3 linked regions of the Neodiprion lecontei genome follow. The protein of the gene in region 3 purifies or fractionates together with the protein of the main gene of each other region. This does not show direct contact. Links are inferred from orthologs where the notes say so. Each region holds a gene or a part of one and is shown on either strand. Other genes may lie near its edges.

The links.
Region 1: the proteins of beta-TrCP (region 3) and protein expanded-like purify together in Drosophila melanogaster (affinity purification with western blotting; 4 studies listed by BioGRID, with this or other methods). This does not show direct contact. The link is inferred for Neodiprion lecontei from reciprocal best matches to the Drosophila melanogaster genes slmb and ex.
Region 2: the proteins of beta-TrCP (region 3) and cullin-1 purify together in Drosophila melanogaster (affinity purification with western blotting; 4 studies listed by BioGRID, with this or other methods). This does not show direct contact. The link is inferred for Neodiprion lecontei from reciprocal best matches to the Drosophila melanogaster genes slmb and Cul1.

The regions. Positions count from the first base shown.
Region 1 is NC_060262.1:19,123,916-19,130,573, forward strand, and holds the start of protein expanded-like, read left to right. Parts: upstream 1-2,624; 5' UTR 2,625-3,226; coding exon of another isoform or gene 3,227-3,253; intron 3,254-6,658. UniProt on the Drosophila melanogaster protein: Activates the Hippo/SWH (Sav/Wts/Hpo) signaling pathway, a signaling pathway that plays a pivotal role in organ size control and tumor suppression by restricting proliferation and promoting apoptosis.
Region 2 is NC_060263.1:15,794,576-15,804,217, forward strand, and holds cullin-1, read right to left. Parts: upstream 7,035-9,642; 5' UTR 6,348-7,034; intron 6,187-6,347; exon of another isoform or gene 5,939-6,186; intron 5,407-5,938; 5' UTR 5,348-5,406; coding exon 5,184-5,347; intron 5,038-5,183; coding exon 4,875-5,037; intron 4,788-4,874; coding exon 4,569-4,787; intron 4,500-4,568; coding exon 4,245-4,499; intron 4,166-4,244; coding exon 3,872-4,165; intron 3,636-3,871; coding exon 3,342-3,635; intron 3,240-3,341; coding exon 3,060-3,239; intron 2,976-3,059; coding exon 2,826-2,975; intron 2,745-2,825; coding exon 2,626-2,744; intron 2,525-2,625; coding exon 2,404-2,524; intron 2,310-2,403; coding exon 2,203-2,309; intron 2,079-2,202; coding exon 1,859-2,078; intron 1,745-1,858; coding exon 1,664-1,744; 3' UTR 1,363-1,663; downstream 1-1,362. Other genes in the region: alpha-1,3-mannosyl-glycoprotein 2-beta-N-acetylglucosaminyltransferase, read left to right, coding at 8,588-8,692, 8,796-8,901, 8,977-9,077, 9,390-9,623. UniProt on the Drosophila melanogaster protein: Core component of multiple SCF (SKP1-CUL1-F-box protein) E3 ubiquitin-protein ligase complexes which mediate the ubiquitination of proteins involved in cell cycle progression, signal transduction and transcription.
Region 3 is NC_060265.1:30,823,760-30,830,432, reverse strand, and holds the start of beta-TrCP, read right to left. Parts: upstream 3,672-6,673; 5' UTR 3,505-3,671; coding exon 3,451-3,504; intron 1-3,450. Other genes in the region: acylpyruvase FAHD1, mitochondrial, read left to right, coding at 5,346-5,374, 5,644-5,719.

The sequences.
Region 1 (6,658 bases), on a different chromosome or scaffold from region 3:
CGTTTTTAACGAGTCAATATCCGCGCCATTTTAGTACTGTTTGTAGATAAGTTTGGAATAGACGCCTGTTTACAATGTTGTTTGTATGAGAACATTCATAACGAGTTGCTGTGATTTTGCTACGAAATGGTATCTCTGGTTAAGAGGGGTCAAAAGCCTCTGTTTCCGGATTTTCAAATTATTCTTTCAGAAATCTTTTTACAATCAATAGTGTATTCTATTTTCGATCAAATTTCATGACGCATCTACAGCAGTTACGATAAATCAGAGAGAATCTGGATTTTTTTAATCAAAAACACTGATGTAACTACGGTAATTCGGAAAAATATTCCGGCCAGCAAAAATTGTGCTGATACCACAAGAAAAACTTGGTTGCTTCTGTCATGACAAAGTTTCGTAAAACACGAAACTGTTGTCGGAATTCTCCATCATGCAGGTGCGTATCCAAACAAAATTCTTGCATCATTGTTATTGTTCACTGTGTTTATTTTTCATCACCTCGTATGATGGTGATATAAGAAAACGATTAAACATTAAGCTGAGGAACGAGAAGATCATTATTTTCACGAAGAAACGGAAGTTTAATGACAAGAGGATTCGATATGTATATGTGGTTTAGTTGCACCCTATAACATCACCGAAGGTGAAGTCGTGTAGGAAATAAAGGGCATAGCCGGATAAGCAGGTCGAATCGGCCCCCGCTGAATTTTTTGTCGGTACTTCAGGGATCAATTTGGACCCAAATGAAAATAATTCAGTGAAAATTTCAGCTATTAATCTTAAACGGTTTCCGAGTAATTGAAAAAAAACCTATTTTTTAGTATTTATTTTTTTTTTAATAGTAAAATTAAAAATTTTTTTTTGCTGATTTTTTTTTAAATACTTACGAGTAAAAGCTGTGAAAAAATTTTTTTTTCTGATTTCTAGACTAATAGCCGATTTTTAAACTAAAAAACAAAATTACAATTATTTTTTTTTATGCCTATTTTAAAACATGCAATCACCAAATTTGGACAGAATACGTCTTTTATACCCCTCTGTACTCAGGAATTTTAAAAATTTTTTTGGTTTGGTGCAACGTCATGAAAAAAATTAAAAACCAATTTTTTGTTAATTATTTTATATTTCAACTGCTTAGAACACTACTTACAACTAATTATAAAATGTATTTATTCATAAAAATATTCATCAAAAACGTAAGTGGTCATCAAAATATTTGTTAATATTTTCGTCAATCTTCATCACTGTCTTCATTAATAACTACACAGCGCCCGGTATTATTGAAAATGCGACGAAAAAATTAAAAAAATTCCTGAGTACAGAGGGGTATAAAAGACGTATTCTGTCCAAATTTGGTGATTGCATGTTTTAAAATAGGCATAAAAAAAAATAATTGTAATTTTGTTTTTTAGTTTAAAAATCGGCTATTAGTCTAGAAATCAGAAAAAAAATTTTTTCACAGCTTTTACTCGTAAGTATTTAAAAAAAAATCAGCAAAAAAAAATTTTTAATTTTACTATTAAAAAAAAAATTTAAGATTAATAGCTGAAATTTTCACTGAATTATTTTCATTTGGGTCCAAATTGATCCCTGAAGTACCGATAAAAAATTCAGCGGGGGCCGATTCGACCTGCTTATCCGGCTATGCCCTTTTTATTTAAAAGTATGGGATTTATTAGCTACTAAACCAAATAAAACAAACCATATGCTTGATGGTATTTAACGTGTGTACTTGATTGTACAGTTTGTCAATTAGTCTTGTCGCACCCTTCGTACAAGTTTTTGGGTAATTTCAAGTTTCAAATATCACGCTGAAAACATTCGACTCATCTCTTGTTAGACTCGAATAATGAATAACAATTAATTCAACATTTTGTGACACGGATTTATTTTCGTTGATTTCAATTTCTGGGACGCAGAGTCCGACTAAATTAACAGATAAACTGTTACTTACCTAATCGAATAGTACCTAGTACCCAGTACCTGATCGAATTGTTGCCTCGTGAAAAAAAAAAAAAAATTAATGAAAAACACTGTTTTTATCACAGGAGTGTCCGAATAGTGGTCAAAGAGATGACAATCGAATCCAAATATTCGAACAACTAGAATAATAGTTCAAATTATTCGGTAGTTTGACAATTTAGTGCCCTTAGGTACGGCTTATTGTTAGTGCCATTTCACACTATACTCGACAATAGCTAGCAGGAGTAGGTCAATCGCTATTCTTCCATCATTAGTTAAGGTACCCAGTACGAAATGAAAATCGAATGATTCAAATTGACCTAAATAATTCGAAAAATTCGAATCGCACGTAGAATTCAAAATATTCGATCAATGATTTTGACTTGTTCGCTTACTCCTAGTTTCCACCGCTTGTTAATTTTTTTTTTTCCCTCAATATCGTGTAGCACGATACCGTGGTTCCTCTCGATGCGAAGAGAATGCCTAACAGGTATGCATGGGAGAATGAAATTAGTTGGCGGATCGGTCGCGCGGCGGCGCTGACGAAGGGGGCGCTTGACCGCCGAGGTTAGGTTAGTTAGGCGCGCACCTCGCGGCGACTGGCGAGCCCGAACCTGGAGGAATCGGCGTGTGCCGAATGCCAACAGTCACCCGCCGACTGCCGGTACCGCTGGTCGGTTTTTGTCGCAAGTCAGTTCAGAGCAGCGATCTCTGTGCACGCTTGCGGCGTCTTTGCACTTGGCATTCGTCAGCGAGCCGCTAAACGGGGTTGGTGATAAACTGGTGCTCGAGGTGGTGCAGTGAGAATGGTGAATGCGTATCCCAGAATGTGAACAATTATTTCGGCGGCAAATTATAGTCGCGGAAGCGTGTTCTGCCCGTAAGTGCATCGGAAGTCGAGTGAGTGCCCGCGATTCTACGAGCACAGTCGATAAGATAGATAGATAGATAGATAGATACTCGAGATAGACGTCGTTTACGAGTTTCTCTCACTTTTTCTATCTTTCTATCTCTCTCTCTTTCTCTATCCCCCTCTCTCTCTCTCTTTCCTTCTCTCTCTCTCTCTTTCTCTCTCTCTCTCTCGCTCTCTTTCTTTCTCGTTTCCCGCGGTGTGCTGTGTGTACGTAAGAAACGCACGAGTGTTGAGTTTACCGCCGCGATCATCTGTCGCGCGCGTACCGACCGGTACGCGTATGCACGATTATTGTTGTGTACAGTTGGATTACTCAAAACCGATGGCATTTGGGATGCCGCCTCTGGCTGGATGAACGTCTCGGCCCCCGGCGGAGAGGTGAGTTTGTCAATTAGTCAGTCAGTCAGTCAGTCAGTCGGATATTGGTTCGCCGGTCGCTCACGTGTTAATTTCCAAATCGAAAATACTTGTTATTCTTCTCCCTCCACGCGGCGGTTGCAGCATAGGCCGCGTGCGCTTCAGAGTCTTTCTCCTTTCCGAGAGAATCCCGGCAGCTCAACGCACCGCGTCAGCATTACGCCGTTTAGTTGGATTATCAGATTCCACCGACTCGTATCGGAGTCGCCTTGACGGCGGCTCGCTCAACGATCATTCGACTAGATTGTCTGAATCAAAAGTTGGGAAGAGAAAAAGAACAGTTTGAAAAATCACCGGCAGTCTTATTTTTCGCCAATACCTGAAAGTGGGCACGAAAAGGTTTCAAAATAATTGAATTATGGTGTTTTTTTTTTTTTTTTCAAATCCCTTTCCAATATTTTTTGACTCTGAAGACTTTTTTCATAAATTTCACATTGTATCATAGTCATAACGACAAAATATTATTGTTTTCGAATACATATCTGTTATACCGTGCTGATAATTCAATTTTAACCACTTTGGAGGTAACTATTTGTAAAATTTCATCCAAGCGAGCTCTGAAGATGAATAAAATAAACTTAAAAACATAAGAATCATATTGATAAATCCTTTTCTCCAATTGATGGTATCTTGGCTTGCGCTATTCATGTGTTCAGATTCATTTCCCTCATATAGTAGGGATGTCGTATCGTTTTTGTTCTCTGTCATCCGTGCAAATAACGTTCCTGAAGATTCTTCGGATGACTTTATCTCTTTTTCCTACAACTGTTCATTCACCTTCAATGTCTAAAGATAAAGATAAAGAATAAAGATCGATGGAGACTGCGAGTTATGAGTATTTATTTTGAAGTAGGCGAAATGGCGCGGAGGTAATAACAGTGTCCTACACCTACCGACTCGTTTACAGGATGAAAATGTTGATCGAGTCGGTAATGGTAGGAAGCTTCTGTACCGAAGCTCGCCACTCGTCGTTCGACAAGCTGCAGCGAGCTTTAAATGTCTGACTTTAACAATCTGTCTTATACAAATTGTTGGATGGTAAAAATAAATTCTATTCAACCGTGTTCCGTTCAAGCGTAATACCCAAGTGTAGTATCGCCTTAATAATAAATACGCACAATCCTCTGTCTTTTCACGTCGAGCTTCGACATTGTCATTCGGAATCAGTACAATAGGTACTTGCAGCGTACGACACTGAATCATGAATGGTGTTCGTGATAATAATCGTCGAGCAAGAAGCATGCACGCTTTCAGATGTCGTTACATTTAATTAAAATCATTTATTCACCTTCGCGTAACGTGAACTGTGACGAGGCGTGAAAGGTCGATGTAACTTCTCTCCTTGCCCTCCTCCTCCTCCTTCTTCACAGCTGCGGAACTAAACGAAAACCATTTCATCATACACGTGATTGTCCTGATAACTTTTGCCTCATCTTGCTTAGATCTTGTTATGCGTGACATTAGATCAAACATGATTCTGTGGTACGGTTATATGTATTTGAAAATTTAGGATCCTTACGGAAAATTTGTCAACTTTTCGTTCGGAATAAATGTTTTTATTGGGAAGGCCTCAAAAGCGATTTTATCCTGTTAAATATTTCTTCACGCGTTAACCTTGCGTGGTTCAATTTCATGTGTTATTTTTACTGGTATATAAATCGTGTTCAGAAACATTTCCAATACTGCGGAGTAAAATTGCATAATCATTTTAATTATTTACATATTCCACGGAATTCCTAAACGGATTCTTTTACTAAATGCTCACTGTCCTAGATCGTGTTCTGAGAATTATTTGTACGTATATTTACTCGCATAGCCGACCTGCTTGCGTGTTTCGTCCTTCTTTGTCTCTCGCAAAGATATACGACCATGCAGTTTCGTGACAGTAATTGTTTGAAGCGAAAATTAGACCAGCTGCTTAATTCTGTTGGTTTCTTTTTTTGTTGTTTGTTACGTATTAGCAATTAAGAGTCTGAAAGTTCAGGGAGAAGAGAACCGCTTAAAAAATGTTCAGTAATGTTATTTGCGCCACTGATAATGATGACGAATGAAACAACAACCCTCTTATGCAATAGAAATGAATATAAGCGAATTCGAACAATGAGACTGAAGTTAGCAACGTTAATGTAACGGAACATCCGGGAAAAAGTCATTATTGCGGAATTTTAGAACGAGTCTCAAGGAGTCGGCTTTTCAAAATAAGTGTTATGTTTATCGTAGTTTACTAAATTCAAGACATTCCTGAAGGCGCGAACTAACGAGTTTTCCTGTTGTTGATTCGATTCTAGCGTTTTCGGACTCATTTCACTGGAAGACATCACGAATTGTCTGAAATTTTTTGGACAAATATTGCATTGTAACATGTTGTACGGGTAAATGTAATAGTTGACAAACATCTGTCGGAATATACAGTTTGTACAAATTTATTTTCATCCAGTTTGGAGATAAGTATTTTGTTTTTTGATTTTAGGTGATTTTTGGACATCGCTATGATTGAAAAATTTAGCCCGGAACTATTAAAATCGGATAAAAAATACCAGAGTTGAATCAGTTTGAACGTTAACGTTATGAAACCTTTTCTCAAACAGCTAATTTTGCTTTGCTATATTGGAAATTGCTCGGATTCATTAATATTGTTGGATATTTTTTTTTTACGCTTACCAACTTTTGATTCACTGAGTCCAGCTCGTTGATTGTTTGCTGTTTTGTGATCCTGCAAAGTTTTGCTACTATATTTTTCGATTGTGGTAAAAAATGAAAATAGTTTAGGACTGAGCGGTAAACGGAACTAAAAATTTCTCTCGGTACAGTTGGTTCTGAATTTGGGATGCAACCTTCATACATGTATAATCCGCGTAACTTAGTCCCTGTGATTAAACGTAATATGGTGATATCCCAGGTATAACAGTACAGAAATGCCTGATTGTAGGCGCAGAACGGTTTCGCGGTCTTAGCTTCGGAGTCAAGTCTGAGTTGAATATTAATGGACGGAGTTAGGCTTTTATTTGGTCCTCGAGTGAAGAGGTATGCGGTAAGCATTTGTATGGTTACGATACTTTACAAACCTTTTTCGCACAGTTGCGGAGCGTCTCCAAGTGTGTTGGAAATTGTATAATAAGTCATTGCGTATCTGTACAACATATCCGGCATTTCATAATAATTTGTCCAACGTTTGGTTCTATGTATCCAGGATATTTCTTTTACGTCGCGGTGCCGTTGGCTACAAAATGTACTCGTGTTTTTTTTCAGAATTTTTTTTTTTTGGTTACTGCTTACTTCTAATTTTTTTCAAGGAACAAATTTTGTACCCACTTTTGTAATTTGACATAAAATCTCGAATATTCTGTGGGGAAACAACATGGTAAG
Region 2 (9,642 bases), on a different chromosome or scaffold from region 3:
TAATTTTTCAGCTTTTCAATAAAATAAAATATATTTTGTACGTAGAATTCTATTGTTTTCTTTACCCCTGTGTTTTGTCAGTTTAAATAATACGGCGCATCGCAGTATTAACTAATCCCATGGACTTAGTGCTGTGTACACACCATTCATTTTTACATTCCTCAATTTTCAGTTATCTCACGTTCAAGTATGGTTAAACAATTGAGAATATCCTTACTAATTTAACTAGATCAAATCAAATATTATTTCATTGACGACCCAAATTGTACCTGCTATGTTACCTACTTACATATCATCCTAAAAATTGAATCTAACTACCGCGTATCGTTTAATTATGGTTGCAAATTACGATAAAACATCAGTGCGTACTTATTTATTTATTTGCTAAGGACATTTCTTTCTTTCTTCTCTCTTTCTGTTTCATCGCCGTCTTGTTTAGAATCTGATAAAACGTCTCTAAATCGTATCTCGCATGACTTCCATTTGGATTTTGCAATACTTTCCATTTCCCCAGAACAGGCGAAATTCGATTACAATCCAACAACTTCCTCACAAAAATCTTATTACGGTCCTTAAGCATTACACGATGATCATAATGAAACGAAAGAAAAACCATCGCAAAATAAAGATAAATTTCTTTGCGCAACCCTAGAAGATTAGAAAAAAAAAAATCACAATAACAACAGGAGGATTTGTGGCTATTAAAATTCGAATACACTACAATAAAATATTTTATTAACATTACGTAATTATCGATCAATCAAGAACAAAGTAGAATAAAAATCAGAAAAAAAAATAATTACAATTATGCCAAGAAAATATCTGTAATCCTTCATCTTGAATATGATCCATGAAGTTTTCTCAAACCAAAGAAGTTCACATGTTTACCTTTTGGTGGGAAAAAAAAAAAAAAAAAAAAAAAAAAGAAAACCGGTAACGCACAGCGAGCTTACAATCAATTTACAACAACAGTGATAAAAAACGTTGTTCGTAAATTACCAAGGATTGTTTGATAACAAAACGAGAAAAAAAACAGGTGCCCGATATGATGCAAGTATTTATCAAAATTATCTATAGATAGAAGATGCGTTTCGAGTCTGTTCAGCTAGTTAATTTAACAGGTGTACGCATCTAATAAAATATAAAAAAATACTGAATACATAGGAAAAAAAATCACGCGTGTCTCGAAGATTACGACACGAGCAAACAATCATAAAATTTAACGTAGAAGCAAAATTGCATTTGCTCCTTCTTCCATAAACAATACAAATCGATAATTGGTACTTAAATTGTTCATTTAATTTTAAACCACAAGGTTTGTTCTCCGGCTGTCATTAGTTGCAAATTACGTTTATAACCGAATAAATTTGAACTATGAAAGAAATTTATTAATAATATTTTATAAAATCCATGTTTCTTTCTTTTTTTCTCTCTTCCTTCTTTTTCTTCATTTTTGCTAAATGCGATCGGTCGGACAATTATTTCATACAGGGCCGAAAGGAGGGGAGGGGGCTTATGTTGTATACAAGAACTTTGTGTGCGACGTAAATAATAAATATTGTAACGTAGATACAACAGCAGCAGCAACAATGACAGATGCGTACGGCAGAAGTTGTTTCTCCTGTTTTAAACAGCTGCTACTTTGTTGTCTCACTTAGGCAGATCATGCCAGGTAACTGTACGTATCCTTTTGTCCTTCCGTACGTTCTAGATATTCCTTTTCTATTAAAATGTCTATACATTTCTGCGAATGAGAGAAATCAAAGAAATGAGCGAGAAGATGATAAGCTGTGTACATCCGTCAAAGAAGATTGTATATTGAAAATTTACAAATCCTTGAAATCAACTTAACCCTCACCTTAATAACGTGCACCCTCGGTTTGAATCTCGCACTGAGCTGGTTTAGTACTTCGGCGACGAGTTGCTGGTGCTTTAGGATCTTACGCATTTTCATAATTCTTACAATCGCGGCTTGAATTAACAGCTTGCGATCTTCTTCTATGTGCTTGTGGGTCGTTTCCTGTTCAACCTTCAATTCCGTCTTCATTGGTATGTTGATATTTACCCTTAATTTTTTGCTGCAATTAAAATTATTCGATAGTTGGTCAATAATGAGTTCTAAGCCTTCAAGTTTTACATGTGAAAAAGTACGAGATTTACGAATTCTGGACAATAAGGTGAAGGAGAAATGTATTCACTCACTTTTTATATGCTGCAAATAGTTCGATGGTTGACGATGGAGTTAAATTAGTTTCATCTTCGTGTGCAGGGACAGTTAAAAGCTTCGCTTTCAACAAAATCTGTATAACCTGTGTTACAAATAAGAAATAAAGCAATTAAAAAGATGGAGCAAAGCACGATAAGTCAGGAAATTTATTTAAAAAAATCTATGACGTTAAGGACCTGCACAAGAAAATCCATTTTGATTTGCGTTGCGTCATGAAGTTGTTGCATGGTCCAAAGTGTAGCCACATTATACTGCAATAGAACCGCCATTTGGAAGGTCGAAGCTTGCAGAGTATACCTGTAAATAAAAAACGAAATTAGCAGAGATTGAGAATTATTATAAAAAAGAAAAAGAAAAAACAAAGCCAGCGATGCAAGAGATTAACAATAAATTTTCACCTGTTCTTAAAACAGTTTGTGTGCAATTCCCCTTTGGACATGTTGTACAACCAATTCAATTTTCTCCCACTGTGCTGAGAACTATAGAAAGTGGTAAACCTGTGCACAGATCTTTCCAGCTGCGAAACAAAACCAAATGCGTTGCATAGATTGTTCGGGACACGTACATTATTACCTAAGTATGCAAAAAGAACTAGTACCTCTGTGGGTAGAGAAAATGTAAAAGATTGCTGGAACGGCCAGGAACCGGACGACAGCACCTGTATACTAAAATCGATGTCCAGAAGTTCCGTAGAATTTATCAAATGCCTTCGAAATTGTTCGTTCAAGTCTTTCGACACTCCGATATCCTACAGGACGATAAATTTTCAATAAAACAAGGTAAAATAGTAAAAAGTGGAATATAATCTGTCAACGTGATTACGTATAGATACCTGGAACATGCGCTGTAGTTTAGAAGTGTATTCGAATCCGCAAGCTTGTTTCAGCTTTGAAATCATTGACGCTTCAGCGTCGTCGCTGGCAGACATGTGCTGCACGAGCCGTTTGGCAAGCATTTTACTGTAGAATTTTTGGAATACATCTTTGTCTTCGATATATTTGAAAACTACCATCTACACGAAGAAAGAACATTATTTTAACCTCGCTGTTTCATTTGATGATAAGATCGCGAGTTAGATGATGTTACACTTTGCTATTAGTTAGATAAAACTTACAACTTGATTAAGTGTATCTTCGAGCTCTGCCTCTTCCGGATTCTTACTGCTCTTCTTGAGTAAAAGGTCGCAGTACTTGGCCAAGAGTTCTGGCGATTTGCTACTGCTATTAGCAGCTCGTGTAATAGAGTTGCTGTTAATGAACCGTCCGCAAGCTTTGTCCAGAGCAGCGACAAATCCACTATCATTATTAAACGCAACCAATACCAGCGCATTATACTTCTTGTGAACTTCCAAGATAGTGCTCACATATATTTTAGGATCCTGCACTAACAACATGGTAAGTATAAAGTTCTGAAAAATAATTTCCATAACCGTACATAGTAATGATTAATAAGCTCAGTTTCATGATTCTCTCAATATTTGTTTTCTTTTTCTTTCTTGCAATATAAATCCAGGTAATCGTAAGTCGCTTCTAAGAAAGAGACAAATAGCAACACTCGTTCATCAAACATTTTCCTATCGAAAGACCCGAAACTTGATGGCTAATTTCGTGCAGTTATTAAAGTTTGATCGGTAAATTTACATACGTTAACCGCAAAGTCGCCGCACTTGTCGATAGCAGCTAATCCCTGACTAGCTATGTGACTTTCGAGAAGATTGCGAAGCTCCCCAAGACCATTCGGTATCCTGGCGACAAGCATGTACATTCGACCCAAATCGACATTTTTATCAGCGTCCAAAAGATTTTGGAATTCTGCATGAAATATGTCCAAATGTTTCTCGATGAGGACCTTTTCGCAGGTTTTTGCTAGACGCTCATGTGTCGTCTGGTGCAAATACACCCTGACTCTTTTCTCTTCCTCCAGGAGCCTCTGCTCAGCCTGTGAAAAACGAAAATATTTGTATGAACATCCCACTCCTTCTTCTTGGCGTTAGTTTCGCTATATGTTCGTCAAACACCTTCTTCATATACTCTGTGACAGGATTATGTCGTAGGAATTCAGTGCTTTCGCGTGTATAAAAGCGTTCAGTGTCATCAAGAAAAACATTCTCAAACGAGTCCTTGTAGACGGACAAATTCTGCCCTTTGGCGCCCGGATCCTCCTCATTTAGACCCAGCTCAACATAGCAATTAATCACTCCGCTGACAAGACTTGTGTTTATAGTCTCACCGTTTCTCTCTCGTTCTATAAGTTTGAGCACCGCGTTGGTTACCTGATAAGTAGTGGAGAAAAGTGGGTAATTTGACATCGAAAATACGCTGATTCACCTCATTTGTTTTACCTGCTTGTTCAAATGTTTGAATAAATTATCCCTCCATGTGACCAACGCCAGCTGATAGATCTCACAAATTCCTTTTCGACCTTCCTCGCACTCTCGCCTCACCCAGTGACGGTTTAAATACGCACAGACCCCGTTCAGGACTTTGCTGCTGAATTGATACTCGTCCCATTGTCGAGTGTAAAACTTCAGCACATCCTCATCCATCAGGTCGACTCCATGCTAAACGAGGATTGAAATCAGGCATTGAATATCGCAAGAATAGAGCAAGAGAAAACTGGATAAGGATAACTAATCGGCGTCTCGCACCTTCAGTAAACTGATGAGATAATTCCGCAGAAAGTCTCGCAAACGTTTGTACAATTCCAGCCCAACTAACTGAGCGCCGCCCGATATTTGACCCTTCTTACTTTTCATCGACGTCCTGTTGTTCAACTGCTGATGTACACTCGTGCAATAGTTATACACGTGTCTGTGTTTTTTCACATCAGTTTTACAGTTAAGCATAAAATACATTATGTAAAATTTTTGATAGATTCTTTTTTAGGTATCACAAGCTGAGTGTCAAAAACATTTTGAAATATGTCTTTCAAGTCAATTGTTGATATCTAAGGATACGTATAGAGCTCCATGTATCTTGGCTTGGGCATGCATTGCCGGTTGTAAACCTGCTCGATGCCTTCTCTCAGGTCGCCCCAAATCTGGTCGAGATCTATTTGCTTGAGACCCTGAGGACCAGTAGGATGGCTTCCGGTGCCACCGGTACTTCTGTGTCCAGACATTTTATTCCCAAATTAATGTCTGACCAGCCTCACTCTAATTACCTGCTACTTGAATAACTCTGGAAATGAAATAAGAAATGCCACACGTTCTTTTGTAATACTCAACTGTGACTGGCGATACTAATAATTTGATGGAGATAAAAATCGCACGGCAATACAAAGAAAGATGTTATGTTGGTGCTATTATTTGTGGTAAAATTATGTATTCCAGCCGCAGAGGGCTTATCTAGATTTCTGAACACGCTGTTTCAAATAAATACAATAGATTCCAGATGAACGAGGGACTGGTTATCCGCAGATAAGATGCGCATACATAGATACGATTGACGTGTGAAATGTGGGAGAAGAGTTTTGTTGTGCCAATCTTAATATCTCAAACAATCTTCTTTGTTTGAGGGTTCTTTCTTGTCATGTAATTCATTCGTTAATATTTTTGTTGAAATATACGTCTTAGAGGTTTGAGAATCGTTTTTAAAAATGTTACAGCTCCAAATCGGCTGTGTGTAGCAAATAAAAGCCTAGTTATATGTTTAGATTGGAATCCAAAATTCGAAGACTATCAGACCAATCAACGGTTCTGCTAATATTTACCAGAAGATACTGTAGTGTGACCGAAACGCGGATTAACTCGTTAACGGAAATGTGAATCCGAACATAAAATGCAGAGCAATGGTGACAGAAGGGGGTTAATTCCGTTAGCGAGCAAATGGTAACTGGGGTAACCCGATTATGCGATAGAAAGAAACGGTGAAAGAATAATGCGAGAAGTGAAGAAGAAAACAAAAAGAACTAAGAAATTGATACTACGCTTGGTAAAATTTTTGCGAAAAATACAAAGCAAGAAGTGGATTCGGTCGATAGAACGAAACGTAAGAACCTACGCGAAAGGTCCCATTGTCTCTCCTCAATGCCATTTGAAACGAAGGAAACAACATTTTTTTTTCTTCCTCTCTTTCTCAAACTAGAAATCTTATCTCGGAGACAAGGAAGGTTTACTCACCTGGCGCTAAGTCACCACCGCATAACAATATGTGAGCCTTGCGTTGAAAAGCGAAATATCGTGGATTTGGTGCGTCTGGTTGGAAAGCACGGACGAGAATTTGAACCACTATATATGTATACACGAAAGAGGATTGAATATCTGTCTGAACGAATACGCAGTACGTGTGGGTTAACAAGTCGGTTATGATACTGAGTGTGCTCCGTGCTTTTCTCCGTTTTCTGACAGGTTAAGTCACACTGCAGCCAACTTCAAGACTCTCGGCTCGCTACAGAGAATCTGAGATCACTAGATTATCCTTGGGACAGAGAGCTTGGGATATCCTCGGCTGGCGTTGAGCTGGCCGTTCGTTGTTTTCGATCGAGGGTGACTGCGGTCATCGGACTATTCGACGCGCGTTCGACTTCCAGTTATTCACTTTTACCCACTAATTATTATGTGTTCTGTATTCAGTATTTATCGTTCAAGACGCCGAACTTGCGCGACTCTGGTGGCTACCCAATTATAATGACGATAATGATGGCGCAAAATTTTCAATCGATCTTATATAATTACTCAATTTTCTTTGTATCGGCTGCGAACTGCATACCGTCATTATAAATAAACGCGAAACCTCAGGATAAAAACGCAAACGGACAATTTGTAGCACAGCGGTTTCGACCTGTTCTCAACTACGTTAACTCGGAAGAATATTCGCCTAAATGTTCATTTGCATTCACCTACGTCATCGCGTGATCCGTTCCACCATGTTGTCTAACAAGGTCGAACGCAGCGCATGCGGAAAGTTCTCGAATTATGAGTCACTCTTCTTGGCCGACTGAGCTGAGCTCTCTCGATAACTTCAGCCTGGTCGTAGATAATCAAAAGTCGTAACTCGGTGTTCGATACTTGTGCATGCGCTGAACCTCTGCTTGTGTGTTATGCATGCATAGGCTAACACACTTCTCTAAACTTAAACGCACCATATGCACCATATATGCACTCACAGACCCTGTATCAGTAATTGCCGTCGGCAATTTCTCCCCTCATTGCATTCATGCTGAATAATCCGCTTCTCAATGTCCAGTGACCAAGTAACGAATCATTTATTATGCACATACAAGGGCAAATAAACATCCACACAAACTGATCATTCACGGTCGCGTTGGTGCGGGGCGGGAGGCAGGAGAAAGAAAAATAAACTACTGGTAAAAAAACTGAGCAAACTTAATCTCTCGCCGAGAATTGGGGAGGAAAAAATCGAATAAGTATTTTGGATAGCTTCGAGCTTGTCAGTGAGGCTAATGAAGTCAAAGCGAAAAGGAGAGAGCAATCATAGCATCGAATGACAACATGCTGTAATGACAGAACCTGACATTGCGCTAAGCAAAGCTGCAGCCTGCTGTCGTCGACACGCGTTACGTACTTCACCAGTCGTGTCTGAACAAAAACGGGATAAATAATGTGAAGATTAATCGTTATTAGGATAATTATTACTGGCTTATATTGTGACAGTATTAAATGCCGATTAATGTCAGCTGAATACAGAAATACGGTAAATATATCTTGACTTAATTCCAGTCTATGTATTGGTTAGTTTACCTAGCACTTGTACAAATAATAATCATTTGTCGAGAAGATAAACGTGGCACTAAGCCGTCAAAGAGCTGTTCTCGGATAACGTATCTGTAGACGTGGTTTCGCTATTACGAATTTTCCTCAAAGTTTTGGAAAGTCACTCGTCCCTTAATTTCTGCTACTCCGATAGAAAAATTTGAAAAGAAAAAACATCTGAAACGTAAACACCAAAGGTAATAAGCAATAACAATTGTCCGGACACAGTTAAAAAATTCTTTTTGACAGAGAGCATTTTTTACCTGATATTGTGTGCGAATTTGCTAAACGTGAAATCGATCGTAACAAAATTTTAATCGAGCCTAACAATTTCCGGAGGAATGATATTTTATGTCATAATTTCACAAGCTTGAGATGAGTATCTGCATTGGATAAGTTCTTATCACTGAATGGGAATAAACATCACAAACCGAATGTAGTCTGATAATGAATGATAATGCTCTATGAACACGGAAATATTTAACATTCACATTATCCTCCATTCGATTTTTTTGTCACAGTTAATCACAGAATTGATAACCTTTTGATATCTCGACAGTGATACATCCATCATCACAAATTATACATATACATATATAATGTGTTAATGAAATACATTCGCAGATGAGGTGACGTTCGGTGGTGCCATGCGGAAAAAATCAATCAGCTTCATATTCGCATCTCTCTGCGTATGGGGTGTCATAACTTACTTTCTATTTCTTGATCGTCCAATCGGCAAAGAACAAAATAAGGTGAATATCAAGTGTTGATTCCGTGCACGAATTGATAATGAAACTCTGGAAATACACCCCTGATATTGATGACTAAAAATTATTCCCAACTCCAAAATTACAGGGCAACATCGCAGCGAAAATTCGTGATATCGAAGAAAGAGTGAAAGAGCAATTTGCGGAGAATAAAAAACTCATTCAACATCTTCGTGGTAAATTACAGGATCAGAGTAAGCCTCATTTTGAATTGGAATTATTACGGTCAATTGAAGCTCCATCGATTTATTGACGTTCGTGATTTTCAGACGAAGCAGAAAACGCGGAGTCTACTGTCGTGAAGAATGCAGAAGAGGCGCAAAACGCCGAACGAGACAAACTAGAAGCCGCCGAAGAGGATTTGAAAATAGTGAGTTTTTTGTCGTAAGACATTTGAAGGGTCCAGGGGAAAAACTGCTATAGTCCACTCATTCTGATATCAAGAAAAATGGAAATGAATGTTTCCTTTTCCGTAAGAGTACATTCGGTATCGATTCTACTGGCAGGTTTTTCGAGGTGTAATACTGAATTTCTCATCCAACAGTGGTATTTTCGGAAAGTACTCTTTAATGCAATAATAATGGTATCGCTATATCATTTTCAACGAGCGATGAAATATAGCTGTTTCCCCTCTTCACCCTTCATTTCCTAGTTTTCAAACGACTTTATATTCACTATTCAGCAGGTAGACGAAGCTCAGCATGTTGCACCAGAAAAATCACTGACAAATGAGGAACCCGTGATTGCAGTTCTAGTATTTTCATGCAACAGAGTTACTGTGAAGAGATGTCTCGATCAGCTGATCAGACTGAGGCCAAGCGCCGAACAATTTCCGATCATTGTCAGCCAGGACTGCGAACACGAACCGACTACGAATGTGATTCAAAGTTATGGAGAACAACTGACGCACATAAGAGTAAGCTGGTTTATTACCC
Region 3 (6,673 bases):
CGCGTAATTCGCAACCATGAAAGGACGGGTTTATACCTACGTAACCCAGTGTATGGATAAGAAAAAAAAAGAAAAAATAAAAAGAAAAAAATTTCCGCAGGACCTTCACCAATCAGAGTTGTACATGTATGGTAAAAAGGTGAAAAAAAAAAAGAACCACCGGGATGAATAGGTGAGCAGTCAGCACCACCTTACGTGTCCTTCGCTTGACCATCTCCGGGCTTAATAATCCGTCGCTTTCGGGTGTAGGTACCGCGATTCAATCGCAACCTTGAGAGTTCGTCAAAAGTTTCTAGGTATACTGTTCCTGAGCAACGTGTATACCGGATCGTAACACAAAGTGATAGGATTTACGCGTGAGCCGAATTCTCAATCTCATTATATGTACAATATGTACATACGCTCTTTTGTATACGAAGTTTGGTCACTGTTTCGTTATACTTTGGTTTTAATTATCTTTTGTCGTACAAAGCTTCGTCATTCTTTTATTTTTTTCTTAGTGATTATTATTTCGTAAGTACGGATCGTATTTGTCAATGCCCGATCAAAACCGAGCCTAGATTGAGAAAATCGAGTTTTGTGCTGCGGTTGGTCGAAAACATGAATCGGAATCGACTCTCTCTCATTTGCTGGAACGAAATTAATCGGCTATACCTATCCGTGACTGCTGCAACTAATGCTACATAACGATTAGGTTGGATTTCGTGGCTGCGGTAAGAATCGTCCGTATAATATTCTTTTTCTTTTTCCTATTCTTACTGTAATCTTTGTTTTCGATCTTCTAGTTATCGATCCACGTTAATTAAAGCAAGTCAAGTACACGGAAGACAGAAGCTTGTCAAGGCCTGCGGAAAATTTTCAAACAAAACAATATATATATGTTAAGGAAGGTCCATAATTAATCAACAGGGAAAACTACGAACTCTGTAGCCCGCCAACGCAAAGCAGACCTGATTCTGTTTCGTGGAACAAATTTCGCGGCACTGGCCGTCTAACGTGACGAAGAATTAATTACACGTTGTACAAATTATACACCCGCGTGGCGTAATACACATACGTATTATGCGAACACAGGCTTTACGACGTAGGAGGGAAATTAATGAATTAATTAATCAAGTAATTGTACCTGCAACACTTTGACACGTACCGTACATAATACACATCCTAAGGTGAGAGTAATCGTGCCGGCTTTAGCAACCAGGGCAATGCTTTCTGAATTCAATCGATTTGAACTTGATTGAAACACACCCGGCATCCCTTTGCGATGCGATAAAAAAAATTGAAGAAAGATAAACGTCGCTGCGGTTAGCAACGTTACCGTATCGGAAGATTGAAACAAAAATTACCATTTTGCACCTTAAGAATAACTGGAGAAGTTGAATTTACAAAATCAGAGTTCGTTCATGCTTTATCAACAGTTGCTTAAATATCAAGTCATCCTAAAGTTGCAAAATAACGACTTTTTCTAAAGACACAACATTGCAATAACTTTACAAACTTCAGCCAGATAGAAATGAAACGACCGTCGATTCAATCAAAAATCTCTTAAACTCCACCGCGATTTTACCTTTGTTATTTTGATATTGAGACTCTCATTGTTATATCACGTACGTTGATCAGGGTTCGCTCGACGGATCGGGTGTCGAATTTCTGGCCTACTTACGCCCCTGTGTACGCATATCATACACACGTACTTGCAAGGGTGTGAGGGCCGTGGCACGGCATGACGTACATACACCGACAAACAGTGGAACTGACTGACTGCCGAGAGGGTGGCTCGGGTTGGGTCGTGAAAGGGGGGGGACTAAAACATTGATTATGTAGTAACCCGCTCTCGGGGGCTGTGGCGACGCTTTGCAGGAGAAAGGAAGAAAGAGGGGGTGGATTCGATCAACGGCACAGAAGGGATGGGGGAGGGGATTTTTCGCCCCGGTTGCGTATTCACCTTTGACCCTCTTCTCGGAGCAAGCCAGCGCAACGTTGGCAACGAAACGAAACGGGACGGAGAACCTCGTTCTTCCTCTTCCTCTTCTTTTCCTTTGTTTCAAGAAGCGGAGGGAAAAGGAGGGAAAGGGAGAGAAAGCGAATACGCACACAGGTATAAGAGACATGTAAACTGTACGGTATAACGGTGACGCGTCGAGGAGACCGTAATACATTGTGTTTGTACATACGTCTATGTAGCGTATTACGTACATATGTATAAATATACGCCTAACCGACACGGGGGCCAAACGATACACAGTTTCGTGTTATGCGGAGACCCCGCGCCCTTTGACCCCTGTGCTTTCTCATCGCTGGTGCTCACCTCCCCCATTGAACGCTGAATTTGTACAGTTACTTGTTCGAGGTACTTCCGAAATGCGACATTCTCACGGATTGAAACCTTTGTGACTTTTGTAGAGTTTGTGAAGAAAAATAACTGGACGGAAATTACTGATGAATGTGTTTCTTTGTTTTTAGAATATTGCAGAGGTTTACTGACGATTAAATTCATTTTCTATGCAGTAATCAACAAAGGTCGTTGATTCTTTGTTTTTGACTTACGCTTGAATCGGAAATAATCTGTACGGAAGGAAAATGGCGAAAACATTTATTATTTTTCTTGTGGTACTTTATTACGATGATTTTCGACTTGTTGAGAGAAAAATATTTAAATCGTAACGGTATTTCGTCGGATGTAGTTCAGAATGAATTGTTGATGAAAATATTCGTCCTACAAAGAAAGTGAAAAGTAATATCAACAACTAATTAATTATCTCCTAAAGTACGTAATAATTTGCGCGGGTCGTCGAAAGAATAGATTAATTATTATCATTGCCATATTCTTCTGTACAACATGAAAAACATTGTTATTATTTTTTTTCGTGTTATTTGATTAACCAATTTTGATATTCACGGAAGAAACGTCAAATAGTGATATTTCGGAAAATAGGGTATCTAAGTTTACGAATTGGTACCTCAAATATTATTTTGAACATATTTTCATTCACGGCAAGAAAAATAAAATATGCCTTTAAGAATGTTCTTTTCTTCGTTACTTTGGTCGGTTTGTTCTGTATTTTTAACGAGTCCACTCCGCTTGGATTAGTACTGATATTGGTTTATGCGTCCTATGTGGGGATAGAAATGACCAAGTGTGTGTGTGTGTGTGTGTGTGACTGTGTGTTTGTGTGCACGTCTTGTATGCACGATAGCTGAGGGAAATTGACGATGATGCATCCCGTTGAATCGGAGCGACGTCTCATAACCTCCGGAACTGATTATTTGATAGGACGAGCGGTTAACGCGGGGGAAAAAATAGTTAGGTTAAATATAGCGAAACGCTGTGTAAAATGGTGTGAAAATAGTGAGGGGGAGGCAGGTTTCGGTTTCCTATTCCCTCCGCGGTTAAGAAACATAAGATGGCCGTTTGTTTCGGGAGGAAAATACGGGTCGGTTGATACGCACCTGACTATACGTGTTCGGGTCCTCGATTACTTTGTCTGTTTCCATGTTAATCATTATCGGTTCACACTGTATCCTCGATAAACTAATTACCTATAACTCACGATTTAACATTGAACGGATTCAATACGGCTCTGCGAACGTTTAACACCCACTCGACAACACTCTTGGACTACTCGCAGCCGCGGACAACGCTGCTCGGGTGTTCGCCATGCACAGGAAGTCGATGTACGGAATTTTACCAACATAACAAATCGCAAATAACTATGCACCGTATCGCGGCTACGTGGACTCGGACTTCTTTGTTGGCTGCAGCGCTGAATTCCTTGGTTATTTACCAAATAGCTAGTACTAATTATCCACACTCGATCATAGATGGCGACTCGAACTTGTATTACATGCTGGCACTCTGGGAGTCTCTCGTGAGCATTGTTCGCGAGCGGCCGATGAAGAAGTTACCGGATCGCTGACACGGCTTCGTACGGCGGCAAGACCACTTACCTACCGAGTAATCGTCACGAAAATTTTCCAAGGGTTAAATTCTTCCGTTAACAATTGTATACATACATATTTGTTGTTTTGCTTTACCAATAACAAAGGGGGCCTTTTCTTTTACATCAATTTCCTGACACAGATCGACAATAAGTGATATCATCGATCGGATTTAATAGAATAGGCCAATGAAATCACTTGGTATCGTTTTGTGTTAAAAAATTAACGCAGAAGCAAAGCGCCCATTATTTTAGAATTAGTTTAAATCTTATGTTCGTACATTCAGAAAAGAGAATGTTTTGCGATTTCTTCTCCTCATTATAAATGTATTTTCACACATATTCTGTTCGGTCGAAAGTCGTCATCAAATCCAAGTTTACGTCTGACTCCGTGTGATACGAAAATTCTCTTAAAATCCGATCGCTCTGTGCCAATCGGTGCCAGTCGTATCCGAGCAGCCGGAGTGAAACCACGCGCGCGATCAGTTCGGAATTTAAATCACGCCGTTCAGGCAAACTTGATCATGTTATTTGGTCAGTGTGTTCCCACCAAACTTATTTGTGAATAATACACGAATGGCAGCGTCTGGCTCGAAGAAAAAATGAGTTAATTGAATGAAAACAGCCTATGAACATTGTACGTGAGTTTTGTGCGTGGTGCGCTTTGTGTATCGACTTTCCATTGTTTTGTGCAACTTCAGCTTCTAGCGATCGTCATTTTTTTTTGTTTGTTTGCTGATGACCGGTAAATGCGTAGTTTTGTATTGTTACCGAGTTTATCCTGTCGGTTGAGGCAACCAACGAACATACGTACTACAGTACAGAAAGTGAGAATGATCAAGTGTTGTTACGGGGTGGATTCGTGATTTATATAACTTTCCAAAGTTTTCTAGATACGTTATTGGACAGATTGAGAGTGCTTTCGTGCAGACTTTTGACAAGTCACAAGCGTTTTCTGACGAGACAAGGCTACGATAATCTCCCGTTGCGGTAATTTTTCCCATGTTCTGATAAAACGGACGTTGCGAAACGTGGCTGTCGAGATCGTTTCTCGGATTTCGGATCGCGGATCGCGTATCATGTTGAAGTTAGTAACGTTACCGGTAAGCATTCGTGGTGCGGAAATTCCGTTATTCTGAGATTTTGGAAGTGCTTGAAATTCAGTGAACCGTAATGAAATAAAAAATACCAACATTTTGCAATCTCACTTCCTTCAAACTCATTATAAAAATAAGAAAAAAGTGATTTTTTCCCAATGTTTCGTTACGATAACGTTAGTAACGTCAACCTTTTACGTTTATAAAATGTAATTGTAACGCGTTTATTAGTGCGTAGGTCGTACTGCCGTTGTTTTTTGTGCATAAAAAACTAAAATTCGGAACTTTAGCGAATGGAAATACTGCTACAATGTGTAGCGCGGCGGCTCGTGTTTATCGGTGAGTATTTTTACCCATTACGAGTCACCGATTCCATCTTTATCCGATTGTTTTCCTGGAGTCCGACGATACTGTAATCCTTTATTACCATGTAAAAATTTGATTAACCTTCTATTATCATTCGTTTCTGCAGTTCAGTTATTATCAAATCACAAACCACCGAAATATAATCGTGGAAAACAAAATTGTTTTAACAGACAGTATTTAGTGATACGAAATATGATTTAGCTTTATTGTGTGAGTAATAATCGGTTACATTTTGATTGCAGTGTCAAAAGTGCGTCGCTTGACGATTCAACTACGAGAACTCCTACATGCAGTAAAGTGAGGAGCAACCCAGAGGAGGTAAGGATTAACTTATCTTAATAATTGCTTAATAATTAAATGTGGTATGTTTGGAACCGAATTTCTGTCCCTGTTTAACATGCAGTGAATATATATGGAAGTAGACAACAAAAATATAAATAATTTCAGAACCGAAAATCCAGTCTGCTTGAATTAATTCGAGTTTTCTTATTTGTTTCTTTCCAGAGCTGGGCAGAGACATCCGAGTAACTTCTCCAATATTCGGCAACGTTGGTGAGTTTGCACGTGTTAGGTTACGGGTATTTCCCTGGAACTCCTATGTCTGTTACGTGGCGTGGCGGTAAAAATTGCTACACAATCTTCGATTTCTTAGCTGCATGGATAGGCTCATTCGCGATCGCAACGGTGCTTGACTTTCATTGTCAGTCGAATGATTTTTTTGCAATTTATCTATTTTACCATGGGTTAGTCGAAGTTAGAAATTTTGCACGTTGTTGAAAGTGGAATGAGCACCGCGACAGGTAACCATCACTTACTCGGCATTCGCGAGAACGAATTTTGTTTAGCTATACTGATATAATAATCTACGTTTGAATTTACAAATGCCGTCGTTTAAGCGGTGGATTTATCTGAGGTTCAATTATATAAACACAATTGCTTTATCGTTGAAATTTCAAAATCTGGCATAACGTAACGTAATCCAATTGCCTGCTCTATCTTGAATAATATTAAATTTTCTATCAGCCAGCAAGTATTGATCGACTGCAGATTTAGCTCGTTTAGTCGAATGCTGATAAGCATACAGGATGTTTCTAATCGATTTTACAATATGTTGATGTACCAATAGCCCTACAGCATCACTAAAATGACTAAACGAAGTATATTTGAAATTATTATGCAATCAGCTGTCTGACTATATGTGGTACAAAAACATATTGCTACCTACAGGTAATCAACGAAAAGGTAAATCACGGTGACCACGGCGCAAATGAG